2 linked regions of the Stegostoma tigrinum genome follow. Each later gene encodes a partner of the first gene's protein in a complex. Links are inferred from orthologs where the notes say so. Each region holds a gene or a part of one and is shown on either strand. Other genes may lie near its edges. The genes, in order: amyloid-beta A4 precursor protein-binding family A member 1-like and protein lin-7 homolog B.

Evidence for each region.
Region 2: amyloid-beta A4 precursor protein-binding family A member 1-like (region 1) and protein lin-7 homolog B share a complex: the UniProt entries of both Homo sapiens proteins name them as parts of the brain-specific heterotrimeric complex. The link is inferred for Stegostoma tigrinum from reciprocal best matches to the Homo sapiens genes APBA1 and LIN7B.

The regions. Positions count from the first base shown.
Region 1 is NC_081356.1:28,369,439-28,381,606, forward strand, and holds the start of amyloid-beta A4 precursor protein-binding family A member 1-like, read right to left. Parts: upstream 5,478-12,168; 5' UTR 5,305-5,477; intron 1-5,304. UniProt on the Homo sapiens protein: Putative function in synaptic vesicle exocytosis by binding to Munc18-1, an essential component of the synaptic vesicle exocytotic machinery. May modulate processing of the amyloid-beta precursor protein (APP) and hence formation of APP-beta.
Region 2 is NC_081391.1:19,465,155-19,478,040, reverse strand, and holds the start of protein lin-7 homolog B, read right to left. Parts: upstream 4,966-12,886; 5' UTR 4,945-4,965; coding exon 4,908-4,944; intron 3,131-4,907; coding exon 3,012-3,130; intron 1-3,011. UniProt on the Homo sapiens protein: Plays a role in establishing and maintaining the asymmetric distribution of channels and receptors at the plasma membrane of polarized cells.

The sequences.
Region 1 (12,168 bases):
TTTGTCAGGGATTCCTGCTGTAATCTATTTTCAACTTTGTTTGCCCTCTCGTTTGTAAACTTTGTGTTCGAGTTTGCCAAAAGGGACAATTTCCAAATTTCCCACCTTTAAATTTCCAATCACAGGGTGGTCTTCCAGTAAAACATAGACCAAGACTTTCCTGCAACAGTGAAAACAATCAATATACCGTGTGGTACAAACCTGGATCTCTAACTCTCCAATTGGTCAAATGTTCAAGAAGAGCTGATTTTTGGCTGAATCACGAGGACAGGCACACAAAACATGGAGTAAAAGTCATGAGGGAAAAGCATGCATCTGTTTTTCACCACGACTACCTGTATTTGTATAACGGCGTTAACATGGCAAAACATCCCGACTACATTTAGCAAAAATGTTCCCACAAAACTTAACGCCAAACCACATAAGGGGAGGTGACTAGAAATTTGGGCAAAAAGGTCATTTTAAAGGACAGTTTAAAAGGAGGGCTATGATAGAGAAGAGAAGGAGAGGAGAAGAGGAAGACAGAATGGTGGATACACGTATGGAAGGAATTCAAGAGAGCAAGGCCTCGGCAGCTGAAGGCACACCAATGGTGAAGCGATTAAAATCTGGGATATACAAGGTGTCAGACTGGGAGGAACGCATAAATCTCAGAGGGATGTCGAGCTGCAGGTGGTTCAGGGACAGAATTAAAAAGGTGTTTTTAAAAATGTGCTGCAGATGTCACAGGACACAGAATTTACTGTGTAGAGTTTAGGTTTCCTTACACAAGCTGGAATTTATTCACAATGTAGGAGGTTCAAAGATAAGGGCTGTCTTCTGAGGCACAGTTGAGCAAGCTTGGCTGATACTCACTGGAGTTTAGAAGAATGGGAGGTGACCTTGTTGAAAGTCAGGACACGTGGTGAGGAGGTATTTCCCATTGAGAGAAAATCTTGAACTAGGGGACACGGTTTAGAAATAAGGGATCTCAAATTTAAGACAGAGATGAGGACGCATTTCTTCTGTCAATGTAGCATTAAATTGCAGGAGTTCTCCAACACAGCGGCACTGGAGGCTGGGTCATAGAATATACTCAGGGTTGAGTTAGATGGATTTTTATGGGGGTCAAAAAGGAAAATGGAATTAAAACCAAATCAGCTATGGGCTTATTCAATTGTGGAGCAAGATCTTGAGATGGAACGACTTCTCCTGATCCTATTTCTTACGTCCTTATGAATTCCCCATGGCAGCCTGTTCAGAATAAATGCCTTTAGACTCTTTACGTAGATGTTGACAAAGTAATGCAAATTACAGAAGGCAGGCAGGACAGTGAAATCAGATTAGATGGTTCATGTGGAGAAAAAAATGTGCATCAACTTGACGGGCCAAATAGCCTCCTTCCGCGTTACAGCACCATACTACACAATAATACTGTCACATGGTGAAGGGATAATTTGACTTGGTGAACACCACACTGGTATTACTGATTTCCGACACAGCTGACAGAATATAGATGAGAGTGATTAATAGAATTCCACTCCAAGTACAAAAGCCAATTAGTTTTAAAGCTTTTCTGTTATCTTATTTGTACGTCTTAATTCGTACCATCAACAATTTCATTCAGGAACTTGCCCATGTTGGGACAGCACCTTTAAAGTAGCAAACATTCTAGGTCAAAGCATTATCAAAGCAAATGTGACACTGAACAAATAACAGATTTTTTTTGTTATCCTCCCATGGGATATGATATGTGCTTTGTAGCTGATGGACAGTCCTTTGGGAATCGGGATTTTTTTTTCATTAGATTAGATTCCCGACAGTGTGAAAACAGGCCCTTCGGCCCAACAAGTCCACATCGCCCCTTGCAGCATCCCACCCAGACCCATCTCCCTAAAACCCAAACACCCCTGAACACTACGGGCAATTTAGCATGGCCAATCCACCTAGCCTGCACATCTTTGGGCTGTGGGAGGAAACCGGAGCACCCGGAGGAAACGCACGCAGACACAGGGAGAACGTGCAAACTCCGCACAGACAGTCCCCCGAAGCTGGAATCGAACCCGGGTCCGTGGCGCTGTGAGGCTGCAGAGCTAACCACTGAGCCGTTGTTAGTTACTTATCACAGAATAACTAGCCCCTGGCCTACTATGGCCTTTCCAATTCAGTTTCTGGTCAACGGTAACCCTCAGCATGTTGACAGCAGGAGATTCAGCAATGATACTCTATTGAATTTGTAGGGCAAATAAAATTTGCAACTCATCATCCCAAGCCTCAATGATGTCCAGGTTTTGCTGCGTAGGGACACAGGGGCCACTTCAACATCCGAGGAATCATGAATCGTGCTGAAGATTGCGCGATCATCAGGAAACATCCTCACTGCTGGCCCCGTAATGGGCGGCAGGTTTTTGATGAAGCAACTGAAGATGGAGGGGCATAGAACCACACCCTAAGGAACTCCTGCTGAGATGACATGGAGCTGAGATGACTGACTTCCAAAAATCACACCATTTTTCTCTGTGTCAGTATGACTCCAACAAATGGAGTGTTTGCTCCCTGATTCCCACTGCTTCCAGTTTTACCAGGGCTCCTTGATGCCACACTCAGTCAAATGCAACCTTGATGTCAAGGACAGTAACTCTCACCTCACCTGAGGAATTCAGGTCTTTGTCCATGTTTGAATCAAGACTGTAATGAGGTCAGGAGTTGAGAGGCCCTGACAGAACCTGAACTGAGTGACAGTAAGGTCATTGTTGAAGCTGTACCGCTTTATAGCACAGTTAATGGCACTTTCCATTACTTTGCTGATGATTGAGGGAAGACTAATAGGGCGATTGGAAATGGCTGAATTAGACCTCTGCTGTTTTCCACATTGTTGGTTCGATGTTTGTATTGGACTGTATTGGCTAGAAATACAGCTATTTCTGGAACACAAGCATTTATTATCACAACTGAAATGGTGTCAGGTCCCACAGCCTTTGTAGTTTCCCATATGTACTTTGCCCTTGCTGGGTAACCAACTCAGTTTACATTGTGTTACAGTCTGGAGTCAGTAATGACGTAATTTCGGGAGCAAATCCAGATGGATCATTTACTCAGCACGTCTGGCTTCAGATGACTGTACACTGCTAGTTGTGGAGAATACCTTGAAGGAGGGGAGAGAGAGAGAGAGACAGAGAGAGAAGTAGAGATATTTATGGAGGGAATTCCAGAGCATTGGAATTCCCACCATATGCTGTGATGATTATTAAATAAAATTGGGGCTGTTCAAGAAGCCAGAATTGAAGGAGCACAGATATTGCAAAGAAGTGTACAAGTGAAGGACATTACAGAGACACAGAGGGGTAAGGTGATGGACGGATTAGAAAACAAGGATGAGAATTTTAAAATTACTGTGTTGTTTAAGCATAAACTGCTGAGTAGTAAGAGAATCAAGGGATAAAGAGTTAGAACATGAAGACGACTTTGAGGTATATGATCAGATATGATCTTAGCAAACGGTAGAGCTGGTTCAAAGGACTGAATGGCCTCTTCCCAGTTCCCAGTGCTTCCATGAGGACTGGAGTTATGGGTGAACAGGGTCTGGTGTGAATTATGCACATAGCAGGGGATTGGTAAGCTCGAGGAGATTGTAGGCACAGAATAGGCAAGTACGTGAGGTGATTTGAACACGAGGATGATAAGTTTAAACCTGAGGCTCTGGAGACCAGTGAGCCAATGTCAGTCAGCAAGCAGCAGGGCAAGAGACACTTAGTGAGAGTTAGGATGCGGCCAGCGTAGCTGACACTTACGTAAAGTGGAAAACCGGGAGCTTTCCAGGAGAGCAATAACATAGTTGAACATGAAGATGGAAAAGAAAAGAACATGGGGTTCCGCAGCAGATGGACCGAAGCAGGGCCAGGACAGCTGACCTCGTGCAAGCAAGCAACCTTTATGATGCACAGGACATGTGATCGGAAACTCAGCTCACAGTCAAAAATGACAGCAAAGCTGCCAACAGATTAGTTCAAACGGAGGCTTTTACTGGGGAAGGGGTGGTATTGATAATGAGGCAGCAGAATTTGTGGCGCTTTTCAGTCTTCTCGTATTTCACCAAAGTGTGGCTTATGCAAGTCTGGATAGTGAACAAACTGTTTAACATCACAGACAGCCAGGCAGAGCTGCGTATTGTAAGTATACATCTGGAAGCTGACCCATGTCTGCACACATCAACAAGAAGCAGCATGTTACTGAAGAAGTCCTTCCTTCAATCAAACATTCACTGAATGAATGGAATCTGTTATTAGCAAAAAAGTGGACACTAGTGACGGGGTTGAACATTTCAAATCCTTTATCTCCCACAGATCGGTCATCAGCTTTCAATCTGTATACTATCATGGACTATATCATTCACATATCGTACAGATATCTTTTACCTTCCTGACTCATTCAAGTTATTATTGGCTAATGAATAAAAAGTCCTTCAGACACTTGGTCTAAATTCAATAGGACGCATGGTGAACTACATACAGTATTAATTTTTTTAACCTGAGTGAAGTTATGTGAAATGGTAAAACTGGCATTCCATCAGCAACGATGGCTACTACAACTGGTAAAAATGTATAAGGAGATGTGTTTTTAGATCATCGCTTGAGTTATTGCTGCTAAACAGTTACAATTTGCAAGCCAAATAATGTAAGCATTTTAGCCTTTAAAAACAGAGGAATTGTTCCTGCTTGATCTTGGGAGAATTCATAGTGAGTTTACAGGTTGGCTTAAATGGTATCATGTATGATACCTTGTTGCTGTAAGATAGATTCACCACCCTCTGGCTTAAGAGAATGCAACGTAGGTTTGCTCTCCCCAACTCCCTGTTATCACATACTTGTAAACACACCAACGAATGAAACGCAAAAACAAGATCTTAGAGAGGTTTTCTGCTCGCAGTCTGCCATATGCCCGCTACTGTACATTCTCAGGAAAGATGCCATATCAACACAACAAAGCGTTACTGCAGCATGATCCTCAATAAACTGAAGGGCGAGAATAGCATCTTCACAATAAGATGGACCATCTCTTGGATGTCCCAGTCAATGAACAATTCAGAATAAGAAAAATAACTGGAGGAACATACGCATAATATCTAAGTTAAAAATACACTTAGATTGTTCTGCTTTAAGCGTGCTGTTATTTTGATGCGTTTATTTTCTTACATGAAAGTGTACAGGGGGTTTCTGCATCCTTTCTCCCACCTTTTTTACATTTGTCGCAAAATACTCTGCAAATGACTAAAAGCGTTTTGCAAAAAAAAATGAAACTGGGAACCAGAAGCCTGCTGCTACATACCTGTGATTCCTAAAGCCCCTCAAGATCTGGACGTGATTGCATTGCGCGCACTTTGCCCGTTTTCTTGCAATTGTTTAAAGCCCTCTAGCTGCCAGCTGATCCTCCCTGTGGTTCTTGCAGAGACACACTCAGATTTGCAGAGGCACTCAGGCAGGAAGTAGCCCCGGTGTGCGAAGGCGCTGCAGGGCGAAGTGCGCCTGCGCGCAGTCGCCGGCTGCTGGACCGAGGACCGTGCTCAACGCGCAGGCGCCGGAGCCGGGCCCGGTAAGGTCCATTACTGCGCAGGCTCGGAGACGGAAATGTTTCTGATGTTTGTTCTTAAGCCAGTGGTCACTCTCTCACTAAGAGGGCCATTCCACCACCACAATGGTCACTCTGCCACTTAAGAGGTTCACTCTCTCACTAAGAGGGTCACTGTCTCACTATGGGGGTCACTCTTCACCCCCACAATGGCCACTTTCTCCTTAAGGGGCTCCTCCCTCACTAAGGGGGTCACCCTCCACCCCCGCAATGGACACTCTTTCACCAAGGTGGTCACTGTCCACCCCACAATAGTCACTCTCTCACTATTGGGGTCACTGTCCACCTCATAATGGTCACTCTCTCACTAAGGGGGTCACTCTTCGTCACCACAATGGTCACTCTCTCACTAAGGAGTCACTCTGTCACTAAGGGGATCATACTCCACCACTGCCAGTAGTCATTCTCACAATCAGAGGTCACTTTCTCACGAAGGGGCTCATATTTCATCTGCCCCAGTGGTCACTCTCACACCGAGAGGTCATTCTCCACCACACCCCAGTAGTCACTCTCTCACTAAGGAGGTCATTCTCATACCCAGACATCACTTTCCACCCTCAAAATGGTCACTGTCCATTCCCCAATGATCACTCTGACACATTCAAGGGGTCCTTCCCACACTCAGGGCTCGCTCTGCACTCCCCAGGGGTCACTTCAACATTCAGATGTAATTCTCCATTTACCGCAAAGGTCATTCAGGAGTCAATCTCCATAGATAGCAGGAACTGCAGATGCTGGAGAATCTGAGATAACAAGGTGTAGAGCTGGATGAAGCAGCAGGCCAAGCAGCATCGGAGGAGCAGGAAGGCTGATGTTTCGGGCCCTGAAGAAGGGTCTAGGCCCGAAATGCCAGCCTTCCTGCTCCTCTGATGCTGCTTGGCCTGCTGTGTTCATCCAGCTCTACACCGTCAATGTCCATAGTTCATGTGTCATTGTCAGACCCAGGGGTTACTCCCACACTGAGGGTTAATCTCCATCATCTACCAATCACTGTTGTCTTCAGATTATACTCCGCTCTTGATACTGCAGTCACCTTTCAGTTCTTGCAAGTTTCCCAATGACGGGGGATTAACATGGTAACATTACAAGTTTAATGTCAGCATGAGGTTCAATTCTGCATTCTATGTCACACAGTAAAATTTAGATTCCTGGAACCCCGTAGAAATGTGCTCAGAAACAGGATGGAGAAATAATATTTGCACTTTGCAGCTCTCTCACACCCTCCCTGCCTGCAATTCCTAGGTCATTGTAAGGGTTTTATGGTCTCTGCCACTTTTCCTTGAGGACAAACTAAGATTATCATTAGATTCCAGAATGGCCATGGGGAGTTTGTTTAAATTGAAAACTAGTTTCTGCATATGGATTAAAGAGGAAAGAAAATCGAGACTTTCATTTCTACAGCACCGTTCACCACCTCAGGATGTTGCTGAGCTTTAAAGCCAATGAATTACATACATTTAAAGACAGAGCAGAGACAGAAAACTCATCAGTTGTATTAACTGGGCTGGTAAAGTGACTGATACTAAAGGGTAGCCACAGGGTCTGAATAGGAAATGGGATATGTTGTCAGTCCTTATGAGTCATTTGCAAATCTGATACAAAGGTAAAGCTGCCATAGTCCCACTGTCTCACCATAGAGAGACCACTGGTGGTGACTTAACCTCAGACAAGGGCAGTCCTTTATGGTAACCACAGATACTGTGGGAAATGAACCCACACTGTTGGTGTCACTCTGTATTGGGAAACCAGCCATCCAGCTAACTGAGCCCTAAGCTAGCCTGATGATTCTGCCTGGTTGTGAACAGGGAATGTTTTGCGTATTCAGTGAATGTGACGGCCATTGCACCATAGAAACCTTGAGAGAACCTTGAGGTTTAGACCTAAAATTTTTGTTTCACATAATATTTTGCACAAACAAACAAGCCACTCAGCCCAACAGGTCTATGCTGGTGTTTATGCTCCACATGGATCTTTATCTATTCCTTCTTCATCTCACTTTGTCAGCATAATCTCTCGAGTCCTTTCTCCTTGGTGATCATCCACCTCCTCCTTAAATGCAGAATAACCCAAAAGATGCTAGAAATCAGAAACAAAAACAGAAATTGCTGAAAAACTCAGCAGAAAAAACTCAGCAAGTTCTGAGGAAGGGTCATTGGACCCAAAACATTAACTCTGCTTTCTCTCCACAGATGCTGCCAGGCCTGTTGAATTTTTTTTAACCAGCAACTTTGTTTTTTGTCTTCTTAAATGCATCTACACTAATCATTTCACTTACTCCTTGTGCTAGCATTTTTTCTACATTCTGGAAAATTTCACACACTACAGAGTTATATACATTTACACCATTTAGTAAAATTGGAAGAAATCTAGGAAAAATGCTGTGATGAATTTATCATTTGTATGAAACGTGCAATACAAAATGTAAGGAACCTTGTCTTTTTTGCATGGTCTTGCTGAATCAAAGTAAGCATAGGATTGCAGCTGCTTCACTGTATTCCACCTCTCCGGGTTAATGTGGTTATAGTGAGTGATGTCTCTCAGCTCTGCAGTAGCAGCTGCAGTTTCTCCATCCTTCAGCACCATACTACACACCCCAGTGTCAGGGATCCTAAGGAGAAACTACCTCCTGTGTCGACAGTGAAATAACTGCTGCAGAACCGCCATCAAAAGGGCTGTAATTTGGTTAGTTTAGTGCATTATGTTAATTTTAACCTTTTTATGAAGAACTGCTTAGCAATCTGTGATATGTGCTTGTCTCTCTCTCTTGTTTAAATGTACAGAAATCATTTGTTTCTGATACCAAACATTCTAGAGCAGGGAATGAGCACATTTGTTTAGTTCAAAATATTTTGTGAAGAAAGTGAAAATGCATTGTTCTGTAATTGCTTTCTTTCAGTTTTGTTACTGCCTATCTCTCATTTGAAGCAGTTGTAATTTTAAAATTATGTTATAGTCCTTAAAAATGTTAACTGATACAAGTGGAATCTATGTTCAGAGGTTAAATGGAAAAGTAGCAATGGAGAAAAACTGATAAGCGACATTTTAAAAAATATAGTAATACCTTTTGTATTAAACAGGGCAATCTTGCCTTCAAATGCTGAGGCCTTAAGCTCTGGAATTCTGCCCTTGAGCCTCACCTCCATTTCTCATTCCCCTTTTGAAACTAACTCTTTGATCGTTTCAGTCTCCTGCCCTTCTGCAGCTCAGTGTCAAATTTTGAAAAACACCTGTGTGGACAGTCTATTGTGTTAAAGACACAAAATAAATTATTATCCAGCATTTGATAAAACTCTTGCCACCTAATTCTGTGGTCACGTAATAAATATCAACTTTTACTATTTCATGTTTGTGAATGATTGCACACATAAAATTACACAGAATAAAGGGTTCAGAAACAGGATTGTTTGGCTCTAATCTGTTCTGGTGTTTTTTTTGCTCTACTCCAGCTTTCTCCCATCTTACCTCATCTAAATCTATCCACATAACCCTCCAGTCATCTTCCTCATGTGATTGTCCAACTTCCTCCTAAATGCGTCTGTACCATTCTCTTCAACAATCCTTGTGGTCGAGTTCCACATTCTTTGAATGAAAAAGTTTCACCTGTATTCTCTGTTGGACGTCTTAATGATTGTCTTGCCTGGGTGACTTCTACTTATGCTGTTCCCCCACAAGAAGAAACTATGTTCCCACTCCATCAAAACCCTAAGTCTCTTTGCTTTTGTCAATACAGCATCTTCTAAATGCTAAATACCAACTGGGCTTGTGATACAGTGCACTGAAACAGTGGCAGCTTGCCACAGCACTAATTGAGATTGACATGGTTAAGAAGCCTGTTTCATGGTAAAATCCTACAACCATACTGAATTAGAGAATTTGCACAGTTAATCTATAAATCCAAACACATCTGGTCTTTCAGCTACTCTGCAGAGAGTAGAATTCTGAATATAGAAAATATAATTATATCAAAAACCTTGAGCATTTCCTACTACATTACAAATTCACTCGCCAATTTAAAAATTTTTAAGAGATGGCTGTTTCTCTGAAATGTTCCTGCTGTTGGAGCCCAAATATAGTGTCATAAATGTACGGTGGTAATTAACAGGGAATTCACACCTTTTTTACCCAGAGCATGGTGAGAATGTGGATAAGAACATAAGGAACAGAGGCAAGATTGGACCATAGGGTCCATCAATCAAGATGATTGTAGCTACACTTTCACCTCAAACCCATTTTCCTGCCTGGTTTCCATATATTTTGCCTTTCCTAGAATCCAATAATATTTAAATTTCAGTCTTGACTCCTGCCTGGAGTCACATAGAGAGGATGAAGTGGATAGTATGGATGTATTTAAGGGGAAATTAGATAAGCATGTGAAGGAAAAAGGAATAGAAGGAAATGCTGCTAGTGTGAGATAACGTCAAGGCGGAGGAGGGTTCTGTGGAGCTTAAGAACCAGCACGGACAAGTTGGGCTGAATAGCTTGTTTCAGTTCTGTGTATATTGTGTGATAGGGTCAGAGCATTAAGTTATTATGTGTTTGTAACATGGAACTCCTCTTTCACAAGGGCCAAAATTCACAATCAGAAATTCCCAAAATCTTTAATTCATGCTGCTTCCCTCAATCTCTCAACAATAGTTGCAATAAATATCTAGGGTAAATATCCCTCAAGCTCCACTGGAACATCTTCTGTTCGAATCAAGTTGTTTTCAACATCCATCTGTGTATTCATAGCAACCTCCCTCATCCCTCTTACAACCCAGGTAATGACCATGAGACACATAGTAGCAGAGAAGACAGGAGCAGCAATAGGCCATTTGACCCCTTGAGCCTGCTCCACCACTCCATATCATCAAAGTATCAATATCATCAAGCTCCATAATCTCATCCCACACTCCTCCTGTATCTCTTGATCCATTTATCCACAAGAGTTATACCTATCGCTTTCTTGAAAACATAATTGTTTTGTCCTGAGTCACTTGCAATGGTATAAAATTACACAGACACGGGAGGAGAAGTCGGTTATTCAGCCCATTGAGTCTGCTTCACCATTCGGTGAGATCATGGTTGATCTAATAATTCTCAATTTCACTTTCTTGTCCTTTCCCCAATAGCCCTTGATACCCTTACTCATTTAAAATCTGAGCCTTGAATATACTTGGTGATCCAGCCTCCACAGCCTGCTGCAATAAAGAATTCCACAGATCCACTACCTTAAGAGGAAAGAACCTCTTCATCTCAGTCTTTAAATAGGCAATCCCTTACTCTGGGATTATTCCCTATGGTCCCAGACTCTCTCACAATGGGAAACAACCTCTCTGCAAATCCGTTAAGAATTGCATATGATTAAAAAAATGTTGCCTTTCATACTTTTAACTCCGATGATTACAGGCCCAACCTACTCAACCTCTCATCATAAGAAGATCCCTCCATACCTAGAATCAATCTTGTGAATTTTCTCTGGACTGCCTCCAATGGCAACATTTATTTCCATAGACAAGCGGTCCAAAACTGTTCACAGTATTCTAGATGTGGTTTAACCAGCATCCTGTCTAAGTTTAGCAAGACTTCCTATTTTTATATTCCATTCCTTTTGAAATAAACACCAACATTCCATTTGCCTTCCCAATGACCTACTGAATTTGTATGTCAGCTTTTTGTGATTTATGCACAAGAACTCCCAAATCCCTCTGTCCTGCAGCTCCTGCTGTCTTTTTCTATTTAAATAATATTTATCTCATTAATCCTTCCTGTCAAAGCATATAATCTCATATTTTCCCACATTATATTCTATCTGCCAAGCTTTTTTGCCCAATCAATTAATCTGTTTCTATCCCTCTTTGTGTCATCCTCACGAGATGCCTTCCTACCTATTTTTAATGTCATTCTTAAACTGGACAATAGTACATTCACTTTCCTGAGCCAAGTCATTAATACATATTGCAATTTTGTCTCTGGCCCTGATCCTACCACATTCCACTAGTTGAAGGTTGCAATCCTGAAAATGCTAACATTACACCAAATTTCTGTTTTTGCTAAGCAAGTCCTCTATCCATGGTAATATGGTAACCTGGGCTACTATGTAGTTAATAGCCTTGTATGTGGAACTTTGACAAATGGCTTTTTGGACATCCAAATATATTGCATCAACTGGTTCTCCTTTATCTACACTGCTTCATAACTCCTCAAAGAATTCTCAAATTTGTTAGGCATGATTTTCCCTCCTTAAGCCAGACTAAATTCTGCTTGACTCTAATTATGTATTTTAAATGATCAGCTATTACATCCTGAATATAAACTGACAATTTCCCAATGGGAAGTATTAATCTAACTGGCCGATGGTTCTCTATTTTTTGTTTCCCTCCCTTTTTGGATAAGGGCACTGTCCTTGACTATATTCTTCTTGAGGGCAAGAATTTAAGAACTTTCTTGCCTGGAGTAAGTGTTGTCTGTACCACACTTTATTCAAGGCAATCTACAAATCTGCTCTATTAGCAACAACCTAATCACTCTGGATGGAAAGTTCCACATAAACCAAAACACAGAAATAGTCCACTCAGTCTATGC
Region 2 (12,886 bases), on another chromosome or scaffold:
ATAACAAAGTGTGGAGCTGGATGAACACAGCAGGCCGAGCAGCATCTCTTCAGTACAAAAGCTGACGTTTCGGGCCTAGACCCTTCATCAGAGAGGGGGATGGGGAGAGGGTTCTGAAATAAATAGGGAGAGAGGGGGAGGTGGACCGAAGGTTGATAGAGGAGAAGATAGGTGGGGAGGTGTGGAGGGGATAGGTTAGTCTGGGGAGGACGGACAGGTCAAGGGGGCGCGATGAGGTTAGTAGGTGGGAAATGGAGGTGCGGCTTGAGGTGGGAGGAGGGGATGGGTGAGAGGAAGAACAGGTTAGGGAGGCGGGGACGAGCTGGGCTGGTTTTGTGATGCAGTGGGGGGAGGGCCTCTCCCCATCCCCGTCTCTGATGAAGGGTCTAGGCCCGAAATGTCAGCTTTTGTGCTCCCGAGATGCTGCTTAGCCTGCATCTAGATACACACTTTGTTATGTTTGACACCGTTAGCTTCTGAAAATCTGTTTATTTCTATTCTTCCATAATGGTAGAGAATTCACAGGCTCAGAACTGTGTGTGAAGAAATTTGTCCTTATCTCAGTCTGAAACGATTGAATGCATATCCTAAGAATGTGACCCTTTGAGCTAGATCCCCAGGCCAGGAGAAACATCATTCCTGCATCCTGTCTGTCTAGGCCTGTCAGAATTGTACATTTGATGATGAGATCGTCTCTCATTCTTTCAAACACTACTGAATACAGAGCCACGTGACTCAATCTCTCCTCTGACTAACCTGACATCCCAAGAATCCATCCATTATGTTCTCCTGCTGTCCTCCTTATACATCCTGCACTCAGCTAAATGACAAAATCTGTCAAAGTACAAGTTTACAGGGATAGAAAACAAAAAAAAAGCATAAAATTTCAAAAACACACCTTTTGATGCTAATTCTGTGTTTGATAGTGTTAACTGCTTAAGCTAATCTGCACTGGTGCAACCCCTTTATATATCTCTAACATGCCAGGAATTCTACACAGTTTCAGCAAGTCTGTGGCTCCCAGCACGTTAGCCAATTGTACAGCCCCTGCACGGAAGTATTCTCACAGCACCCTGTGTCATTATGGAGCTGCACAGTACTCTCAAAAATTAATGTAATAGACTAATAACTATAATCAACCCCAGTACAAAAGACAGTCACTCATGGATTACAATCTAATGCTGTCGGATCTCTTGTGGCATCTTCATGGTATAATTATACCAACAAGACTGTTAATCAAGTATGGCGCGAAACGTATTAAGGAAACTTGGCATTACACATGCATGCCGGGCTTTTAAAAAGACTTTGAGCTGCTCTCCCACGGTCTTTCACTCAGTCAGTAAAGATCTAGTATGAGTTTGAGGTGAGGTGCAGGATTATTGGAACACAGCACAGTTTATGGTCTGCCCTTTCTCTCACACGATTTGTTAACCTTTCTCATTACGCATTTCTACATCCATACTTAAAAACCACAGTATGTAGGCAAACAAAACAGATCTAAAATGGCACTTGCCTGGAATTGTCCCGCAGTATTTCCAGTGGTCAGCGCGTGTAATTACAGTGTGATGCTTACATATGCAGTTACCATCTCAAATGTGGGCGTAAGAATAATAATACGAAGTGTTAATATAAGTGCATGACTTAAATGTGAGAGCAGACAGCAATATTCTATGGACAAATGGTATGCAGGTATAAGGTATTACTGAGACAACAAGGGGTAGAGCTGGATGAACACAGCAGGCCGAGCAGCATCAGAGGAGCAGGAAAGCTGACGTTTCGGGCCTAGACCCTTCTTCAGAAATGGGGGAGGGGAAGGGGATTTTGAAATAAATAGGGAGAAAGGGGGAGGCGGATCGAGGATGAATAAAGCAGCAGTTTCAGGACTGAAGAGATTATGAGAGTTGCAGTGAGATCCTCTGAGGTCTTTCATCCAGCTGTACACCATGTTATCTCAGATTCTCCAGCATGTGCAGTTCCTAATATCTCCGAAACATTGTTAACTCCACTGCAAAGCTTCTTCTAAGGATGCCTAACTTGAAGAAGTTACCCTCCTCCCTCCAGGAAGACCTCAGTGGATCTCTTTCCCGCTGCAATTCTCGCTTAATCTCTTTGGCCCTGAAACTGCTCCTTTATCCATCTGCTATCTACCTCCCCACCTCCCTATTTATTTCAGAATCCCCTTCCCCCTCCCCCCATTTCTGAAGAAGGGTCTAGGCCCAAAATGTCAGCTTTCCTGCTCCTCTGATGCTGCTTGGCCTGCTGTATTCATCCAGCTCTACACCTCGTTATCTCCGATTCTCCAGTATCTGCAGTTCCTACTATCTCTGAAACAAGGTGTTACTGGCTAATCTTCACTGATGCTGTAAATGGACATTAAGTCCAAGTATATTTTTCAGTTAAATTTGGTAGGAATATTCTCTGTAGTACAGGCTAAGATGCCAGAAGATACAAAGCTTGGGCAAAACTACCTTATTATTCATGATGTGTGTAATTGCAGTCTGATAATTTCTCATTAAAGACTTGATTATCGGAATTGACTGGGGACATTTTGAAACATACTTCTTGATCTGGACAGGTGAGCTACATAGAATTCACAACACAGAAACTGGCTAATTGATATTAATTGGTCTAAGCCAATATTATACACCACAGAGGTCTTCCCCACTACCCCTCTCTGCACCCCACACTCTTAACAGCATAACCTTCTATTCCTTTCTCCCATATATGTTCACCAGCTTCGCCAAAAATATATCAATGCGGTTCACCTCAACTATTCCATGTTGTAGTGAATTTTAAATTCTCACTGCACTCTTTGTTAAAATTGTACATGTTAGAAAGAGTAAAATTCATTTTTAATCAAATGCAACAGTAATATGTGCAAATAAGCTTCTTTCCTTCAAAGGCTGACGCATGCAGAAAGAGCTACAATGCACAAACACATTTGCTGATGTTGAGTTTAATGAGCGCATGCATTTAGGGAGCAAAGCTATAGTCGCTGATTGCGTACTGACCTCTCGGATGGCAGAGCAGAACTTGCTCTGAAGAACTCGCTGCAGCGTCTGCAGTTTCTGCGGGGGAACATTGCCGCTTCGCTGTAACTTCTCCAGCAGCTCGATCGCTCTGGTAACATCTAGACCATGCAGAAAGCAGAAATTAAGCAATTGGCTTGCAGGTAGTGTTCAAGCTTGACATTTCTGCCCCATCCCTGGCCAGAAGTATTCTTGCTCCGTCTAATTTATTTTCTGGTGTGTGGCAGTGGCTTCTGAAACCAGTCTGGGAACCCGTGCTTCACTGACAGCCACTTGCAATAATTAACTTGCTGCTGCTTGCCTTCTCAGGTGGAGCACAAGAGATTAGATTAGATTAGATTCCCTACAGTGTGGAAACAGGCCCTTCGGCCAACAAGTCCACACCGCAATTTATCTATAGTATACATTTCACGTATGTATCAAACCCAGATAATGTTCTGGGGGCCCAGGGTTTGAATCCCACCATGGCAGATAGTGGAATTTGAATTCAATAAAATATCTGAAATTAAGAATTTAATTATGACTGTGAATCCATTGTCAATTGTCAGGAAAAACCTATCCGGTTCACTGATGTCCTTTAGGGAAGGAAAGTGCCATCTTTAGCTGGTCTGGCCTATGTGTGACTCTAGACGCACAGCAATTTGGTTGACTCTTAAATGCCCTGGGGACAATCAGGGATGGACAATAAATGCTGCCTAGCCAGTGATGTTTTCATCCCATGAATGAATAAAGAAGCCAAAAAATATGAACAGCCCCCTGCCTATCCTACCTGTGCACATGTTAAATAGGGCATGTTGTTGTTGGGTGGACCATACAAAATCGTCAGTTATTCTGGAATGACTGGTTATTGGCTTGTTAAACACCCCACTAGCTATCTTAAAGATTTTGTTTGCTACTGCATTTTTGAGCATTGGATGTGAGAAAATTTGGGAATGTCTTATGGCACTAATGACAAGGCAGCACAATTGTGGCAGAAGTGGTCCTTTTACTGATTTTATTTTAATTAATTCAGTTGTCTATGCTCTGACACACATGTGAAATGTACACTATATATAAATACACTGCAATATACAGATAAATTGCTGAAACATATACTGATAGCTATAACTGAAACATACACGTATATCAAAATTTATTTCAGGTATCTGAAAAACATATTTCCCCACATTTTGTATCTTTCAGATACATATCAGCATGCATTTCAGTAATGTGTCCTATACTTTATAGGGGTAAACGCTAAATGTATTCAGACATATGTTTCATATATATGACATTATAGAATTCACTGATACACCTCGCATATCTTTCAGGGATATAATTATCTATGTTTCAGTATTACTGAAATAGAATTTGATAGATATACGAAATGTGCAAAAATTATTCAAAAATATGTCTGAGAGATACAAAATATATAAGTGAAGGATGATTGATAGAAAGATGTGTGGGACAAATATATGCTGATAAAGTTATGAGACATTGTTAACATGTATATTGACCGGGCTGATTATATACATTTACAGATTTAAGAATGAGACGTATTACTAAAATAGACACTGACACATATTTTTGTTTTAAGATATTTTACTGAACTATATCAGCCATAATTCTGGAAAAAGTCGCCATAGATCCCGTCCCCTTTCGCTATTGGTCGGTCTCCTTATATATATTAATAGTCACCTCATCCCCATTGGTCCACCCTGCTGTCAATCAGAGAGTTCAGGCTCTGATTGGCTATGCGGGTAGCGGTGTCACTCATTCATAGCTTTAACGGGATCAGGAATGAAATGCCGGTCCTTCGCGGGGTCTCGGTGGCCCCCATGGAAAGAGAAAGAGATGCGACGGCAGCAGGGTTTGAGGGTGGTCAGCTATTTCACTCACCTCTCTCCAGCGACAAAGATTCAGCCAACGCCGCCATCTTGGAGCCGGTATCACCTGACCGTGAAGCGACACGTGATCAACACCGGCGGAGCTGTAGCCACGCCCACCGCGGTGAGGGGCGGGGCCTCCCACGCCTCCTGCAACGACAGGTGTCTGGCGACAGGGGCCGCTGTCACCTTCCTCTGGCCACGATCCCCAGTCCTGCGATGACAGTCCCCGGCCACAGGGGCCGCTGACCATAAGAAATAGGAACTGAAACAGGCCATTCAGCCCGTTGAAACTGCTCCACCATTCAACAGGATAGTAGCTGATCTGACAGCCCTTACATGCACTTTTCCTGTCCTTTCCCTTTAACGTTTGATTCCCCAACTGATCAAGAATAATGTATGGTTACAAGATAATGTATGGCTAGGAAGGGGTGAACGCTGGGAAGTTGTTTCTGTTAGGCAGGGAGACTAGGACCCGTGGGCACAGCCTTAAAATTAGAGGGGGTAAATTTAAAACTGCAATGAGACGACATTTCTTCAGCCAGAGACTGGTGGGCTTGTGGAATTCATTGCCATAGAGTGCAGTGGAGGCCGGGACGTTGGATGCCTTCAAGGCAGAGATAGACAAATTCTTGATCTCACAAGGAATCAAGGGCTACGGGGAGAGTGCAGGGAAGTGGTGTTGAAATGCCCATCAACCATGATATAAATGGCGGAGTGGACTTGATGGGCCGAATGGCCTTACTTCCACTCCGATGTCTTATGGTCTTAATCTATTTCACCATTAAATAGACATAAGGTACCTCACAGCCCTCTCTGTGAAGAAATTTTTCCTCACCTCAGTCTGAAGTTGCAGCCCTTTTTTCTGAGACAAGCTGTTGGAGGGAATCCCTACACACAGGACTTACATGTATTTGGAAAGACAAGGACTGATTAGGGAGATTCAACATGGCCTTATGCTTTGCAAATCACATCTAACTAACTTGATTGACTTTTTTGAAGAGGTGAGGAGGATTGATGAGGGCAGGGCGGTAGATGTGATATATGTGGACTTCAGTAAGGTGTTCAACAGGGTTCCTCATGGGTAACAAAGTGTGGAGCTAGATGGACACAACAGGCCAAGCAGCATCTTAGGAGCATAAAAGCTGACGTTTCGGGGCCTCGACCCTTCATCAGGTTTTTGGTTAGCAAAGTTAGATCATGTGGAATGTAGGGAGAACTAGCCATTTGGATACAGAACTGGCTGCAAGGTAGAAGGCAGAGGGTGGTAGTGTAGGGTTGCTTTTTGTACTGGAGGCCTGTGACCAGCCACAAGGATTGGTACTGGGTCAACTGCCTTTCATTGTTTGTATAAATGATTTGGATATGAACATAGGAAGTATGGTTAGTAAGATTGTAGATGACACCAAATTGGAGGTGTAGAGGACACCGAAGAAAGATACCTCAGTGTACAATGGGATCTTGATCAGTTGGGACAATGGCCCGAGGAGTGGCAAATATTGTTTAATTTCAATAAATGCAAGGTATTGCATTTTTGGAAAGGCAAATCAGATCAGAACTTACACAGTTAATGGTAACGTTCATAAATCATAGAATCCCTACGGTGTGGAAACAAGCCCTTTGGCCCAGCAAATCCACACTGACCCTCAGAACATCTCACCCAGACCCGTTCCCCCTATAACCCACCTAATCTAGGCATCCCTGAGCACTACTTTTGACTGACCTAGCCTGCACATCTTTGGTCTGTGGGAGAAGACTAGAGAACTTGGAGGAAACCCACACAGGCGCAGAGAGAATAAGTATTTTCCACACAGGTGGTCAGCTAAGGCTAGAATTGAACCCAGGTCCCTGACACTGTGAGGCAGTAGCGCTAACCACAGGGCTACCATGCCACCCCAAGGTTCTGGGGATTGTTGCTGAACAAAGAGACCTCGGAGTGCAGGTTCATAGCTCTTTGAATGTGGAGTCACAGATAGACAGAATAATGAAGAAGGCATTTAGTGTGCTTTCATTTATTGGTCTATGCATTAAGTACAGGAGTTGGGAGGTCATGTTGCGACTGTGCAGGACATTAGTCTGGGCACTATTGGAGTACTGTGTGCAAATCTGGTCTCCCTTCTATGGGAAGGATGTTGTGAAACTTAAAGGAGTTCAGAAAAGATTTACAAGGATGTTCCTGGGGTTGGAGGGTTTGAGCTACAGGGAGAGGCTGAATCGACTGGGGCTGTACTCCCTGGAGAGTCGGAGGCTGAGGGGTGACCTTATAGAGTTTTACAAAATCATGAGGGGGATGGAGAGAGTGAATAGGCAAGGTCTTTTCCCCAGGTTGGGGTAGTCCAAAACTAAGGGGCACGGGGATAAGGCGAGAGGGGAAAGACTTAAAAGGGACCTGAGGGGTACCTTTTCACACGGAGGGTGGTGTGTGTATGGAACGAGCTGCCAGAGGAAGTGGTGGAGGCTGGTACAATTACAGCGTTTAAAAGGCATCTGGATGGGAGGGTTTAGAGAGATATGGGCCAAATGCTGACAAATGGGACTGAGTTAGATTGGGATGTCTGGTCAGTATGGACTAATGCACTGAGAGGTCTATTTCTGTGCTATTTGACTCTATGACTCCAAGTCTGTATCTGACATAACCAAGCACCTGAATATTGTAAAGTGAAAGGAGGATCTGAGATACCTCTCTCTCATCATCATCCAAGGCTACAGAAACACCTTTCAGGTGAAGGAGTGAATTACCTGCACTTCTCTCAATCTAGTGTACAAAAGAAGATAAACTATTTGATTCCAGTAAAGGAGCAGGGATGTCCACACTGTAGGTAATCTAAATATATCGTTCTGTTTTTGATCTCCTTGTCTGAGAAAGGACATTCTTGCTGTAGAAGGAAGAACAGCGAAGGTTTATCAAGATTGATTTCAGGGTTAAGAAAGTGTGGAGCTGGATGAACACAGCAGGCCAAGCAGCATCTTAGGAGCACACAAACTGATGTTTCAGGCCTAGACCCGTCATTAGAAAAGGGGGATGGGGAGAGGGTTCTGAAACAAATAGGGAGAGAGGGGAAGGTGGACCGAAGATTGATAGAGGAGAAGATAGATGGGGAGGAGAGTATGGGTGGGGAGGGGATAGGTCAGTCTGGAGAGGATGGACAGGTCAAGGGGGCGGGGTGAGGTTAGTAGGTAGGAAATGGAGCTGCGGCTCGAGGTGGGAGGAGGGGATAGGTGAGAGGAAGAACAGGTTAGGGAGGCGGGGGCGAGCTGGGCTGGTTTTGGGATGCAGTGGGTGGAGGGGAGGAGCTGGGCTGGTTGTGTGGTGCAGTGGGGGGAGGGAACGAACTGGGCTGGTTTTGGGATGCAGTGGGGGAAGGGGAGATTTTGAAGCTGATGAAATCCACATTGATACCGTTGGGCTGCAGGGTTCCCAAGCGGAATATGAGTGGCTGTTCCTGCAACCTATGGGTGGCATCATTGTGGCACTGCAGGAGGCCCAGGATAGACATGTTGTCTAAGGAATTGGAGGGGGAGTTGAAATAGTTCGTGACTGGGAGATGCTGTGTTCGTCCAGCTCCACACTTTTTTTATCTCAGATTCTCCAGCATCTGCAGTTCCTATTATATTTGATTTCAGGTTTGGCAGGTTTGACATATGAGGAGAGATTGAGTCAGTTAGGATTCTATTCAGTGGAGCTGAGAAGAATGGGGAGGGACTCTCATTGAAACCTACAGAATTCTACCACGTCTAGAGAGGTTAGATGCAGGAAAGACTGGGGAGTCCAGAACCAGGGGGCATTGTTTAAAGATAAGGGGTATTCTTTAGGATTGAGATGAGGAGAAATTCTTCACCTATAGAGTAACGAGCATGTGGAATTCACTATCACAGAAAGTGGTTGAGGCAAAAACATTGTGTTTTCAAGAAGGAGGTAGATATAGTTTTTGTTTTGTGGCTAAAATGATCAAGGAATATAGGGAGAGGGGAGGATTAGGGTATTGAGCTCAATCAGCATGATTATACCGAATGGTGTAGCAGGCCCAAGGGACTGAATGGCCTACACCAGCTATAATTTTCAAAGTATTTACTGCTCTCACTGGTCTAATCTACAATGTGAAGATGAAACACAGACAGGGCGACCCCAAGCTTCCAGTTGCCTGTCGCTGAAACACACCATTGTATTCTCTGGGCAAGATTTCTGTCCTGGGCTTGCTGCAGTGCTCCAGTGAAGCTCAGCACAAGCTGGAAGGACAGCAGAAACAAATTACTGCAAATTACTACTGAATCTTGTACTGAAAGCAAACAATGCTGGGGATCAGAGCAGGTCAAGCGGCATCCATGGAGAGAGGGGGGGAGAGAGAGAGAGAGAGAGATGGAGAGCAAGCTAATGTTTTGAGTCTAGATAACTCTTCATCAGAGCTGGAGGAACAGTATAACTAAAAACCAAAAGAAATGCGGATGCTGTAAATCAGGAACAAAAACAAAAGTTGCGATAAAAGCTCAGCAGGTCTGGCAGCATCTGTGAAGGAAATAATCAGAGTTAACATTTCAGGTCTGGTGTTCTGAGGAAGGGTCACCAGACTTGAAACGTTAACTCTGTTTTTTCCTTCACAGATGCTGCTGAGCTTTTCTAGCAATTTTGTTTTTGTTGTTGTGTTGTGGAAGAACAGTATCTTGTTTTCTGCTTGGGAATCCTGTGGCCTTCTGGTTGTGATTCCACAACTGGGTAACACATTTCGAACACTCCCAAGTGTGCTTGTTATACTGACAATGAGATTAAGGCAATCAGTTGAGCTCATCATGTGATGAGAGATAATAGGACCTGCAGATGCTGAAGAATCTGAGATAACAAGGTGTGGAGCTGGACGAACACAGCAGGCCAAGCAGCATCAGAGGAGCAGGAAAGCTGACGCTTTGGGCCCAGACCCTTCATCATGTGGCTTATTTACACTTGTGAGAAATGGCATACACTCCTTCTCCATGAACAAAAGAGATATGCTGAAAGCCTTACTCCTTTTTTTTGAATTGCACAGGTCATTGCTTTCTCCATGGCAACATCTCAGCTAGTCAGGCCGGATGTGTCAACCAATCACATCCCTTGTCTCCAATCATTTGAAATTTGGCATTCTTGTGTTTGTCCTGATGTGTGCAAGACAAGCTCTCTCACAGAACTCCTACAAGTGCAGATGCAGACCATTTGGCCCATCGAGTCTACAGCAAATTGCATCCCAACTCCACTCCATAACCCTGCATTTCCTTTACACCAATCCACCCTAACCTGCACACCTTTGGACTGAGGAAACCGAAGCTCCCAGAGGAAACCCACGAAGACACGGGGAGAATGTGCAAACTCCACAGTCACCTGAGGGTGGAATTGAACCCGGGTCCCTGATGCCATGAGGCAGCAGTGCTAACCACTGAGCCAGTTTTCTCTCTCTCTCTCAATCTCTCTCTCTCATTCCCCGCTCCCCCGCTCACACCACCCCCAGCAATATTCAGTCATTATCTGTAAAGGAAGAATTTATGAACATACACTGCAGAAGCAGAGTAGGTCATTTGGCTCTTCAGTAAGACCTATAGTTCCTTAATCCTGGAAATCCAGGGCAAGAGGGTGGTCTTCACAGGGTCAGTATAGGCTCAATGGGGCGAATGGACTCTAGAACATAGAACATTTCAGCACAGTCCAGGCCCTTCGGTCCTCGATGTTGTGCCGACCTGTCATACCGATCTCAAGCCCATCTAACCTACACTATTCCATGTACGTCCATATGCTTATCCAATGACGACTTAAATGTACCTAAAGTTGGCGAATCTACTACCATTGCAGGCAAAGCATTCCATTCCCTTACTACTCTCTGAGTAAAGAAACTACCTCTGACATCTGTCCTATATCTTTCACCCCTCAATTTAAAGCTATGCCCCCTCGTGCTCGCCGTCACCATCCGAGGAAAAAGGCTCTCCCTATCCACCCTACCTAACCATCTGATTATTTTATATGTCTCAATTAAGTCACCTCTCAACCTTCTTCTCTCTAATGAAAACAGCCTCAAGTCCCTCCGCCTTTCCTCGTAAGACCTTCCCTCCATACCGGGCAACATCCTAGTAAATCTCCTCTGCACCCTTTCCAAAGCTTCCACATCCTTCTTATAATGCGGTGACCAGAACTGTACGCAATACTCCAAGTGCGGCCGCACCAGAGTTTTGTACAGCTTCACCTTAACGTCTTGGTTCGGGAAATCAATCCCTCTATTAATAAAAGCTAAAACACTGTATGCCTTCTTAACAGCCCTATCAACCTGGGTGGCAACTTTCAAGGATCTGTGTACATGGACACCGAGATCTCTCTACTCATCTACACTACCAAGAATCTTACCATTAGCCCAGTACTTTGCATTCCGGTTACTCCTACCAAAGTGCATCACCTCACACTTGTCTGCATTAAACTCCATTTGCCACCTCTCAGCCCAGCTCTGCAGCTTATCTATGTCTCTCTGCAACCTACAGCATCCTTCGTCACTATCCACAACTCCACCGACCTTAGTGTCGTCTGCAAATTTACTAACGCATCCTTCTACACGCTCATCCAGGTCATTTATAAAAATGACAAACAGCAGTGGACCCAACACCGACCCTTGCGGTACACCACTAGTAACTCTGTCTGCACTGTAGCGATTCCATGATTCTGCAACTGGACTTGAGTTGACCTGAATCAATGTTTTTCAAAGGTTTTCATTGCTTTATTTATAAAGCCTGGAATCTGTACAGCCCATATAAACAGGTACAGAATGAGGCCATTCAGTCCATGCCATCTTTTTTGTAGTGCAGTCTAGTCAGTCCCATTCTCCTCTTTTATCCCAGTAGTATGAACGTTTGTTCATTCATTTTCCCTAAATTAGTGATTGTCTCGGTATTCCCTGCCCTTCTCGATGACAAGCCCAGGCCATTATGATTTGCTCAGCAGTTCTTCATCGCATTGCCTGCTCCATTTCTTGCCCAAAAGCCTGAAATGAGTGACTCCAATTGGCCAATGAGAGCAGTTTTTTAAATCTCTACCTTATTCAAATCTGCCATAAACCCGGACAAGCTCAGCAGGTCCGACAGCATCTGTGGAGAGAAAGTGGAGCGACCTCACTGCAGAAGCTGGACCCGAAATGTTAACTCTGTTTCTCTCTCCACAGACGCGGCCAGACCTGCCGAGTTTCTCCAGCAATTTCGGTAGTTCCAACACATGCAGTTCTTTAGAATATAGAACTGTACAGCACAGGAATGGGACCTTCTGCCAATGATGTCATACTGAACATGATGTCAAACTAAACTAGTTCCTTCTGCCTGCCCTTAGCCCATATCCCTCCAATCCCCTTGTGTTTATCTATTCCTTTAATGCCCCCATTGTATCTGTCTCCACCATCACCCCTGGCAGTGGTTTCCAGGCTGTGTAAAAGTTTTGCTCCTCACATCTCCTTTGAAGATTCCCGTCTCACATTAAATGCATAGCCCCTAGTATTAGTAATTTCATCTCTGGGAAAAAAAGATTCTGTCAAGGCTGTCTATGCATCTCATAATTTTATTGACTTCTATCAAGTCTCCCCTCAGCCTCTGCTGCTCCAGAGAAAGCAACCTGAGTTTTTCTAGGCTCTCCTTACAGCTCATACCCTCAAATCCAGCCAGCATCCTGGGAAACCTCTTCTGCATCCTCTCCATAGTATCCACATCCTTCCTGTAACATGGCAACTGGAATTGAACACAGTGCTCTAGATGTGGCTGAACCAAAGTCTTATAAAGCTGCAACATAACATCCTGAGACAACCAGGTGTAGAGCTGATGAACATAGCAGGCCAAGCAGCACCAGAGGAGCAGGAAGGCTGACGTTTCAGGTCTAGACCTTTCTCAAGAAGGGCCTAGACCCGAAACGTCAGCCTTCCTGCTCCTCTGATGCTGCTTGGCCTGGTGTGTTCATCATCTCTACACCTTGTTATCTCAGATTCTCCAGCATCGGCAGTTCCTACT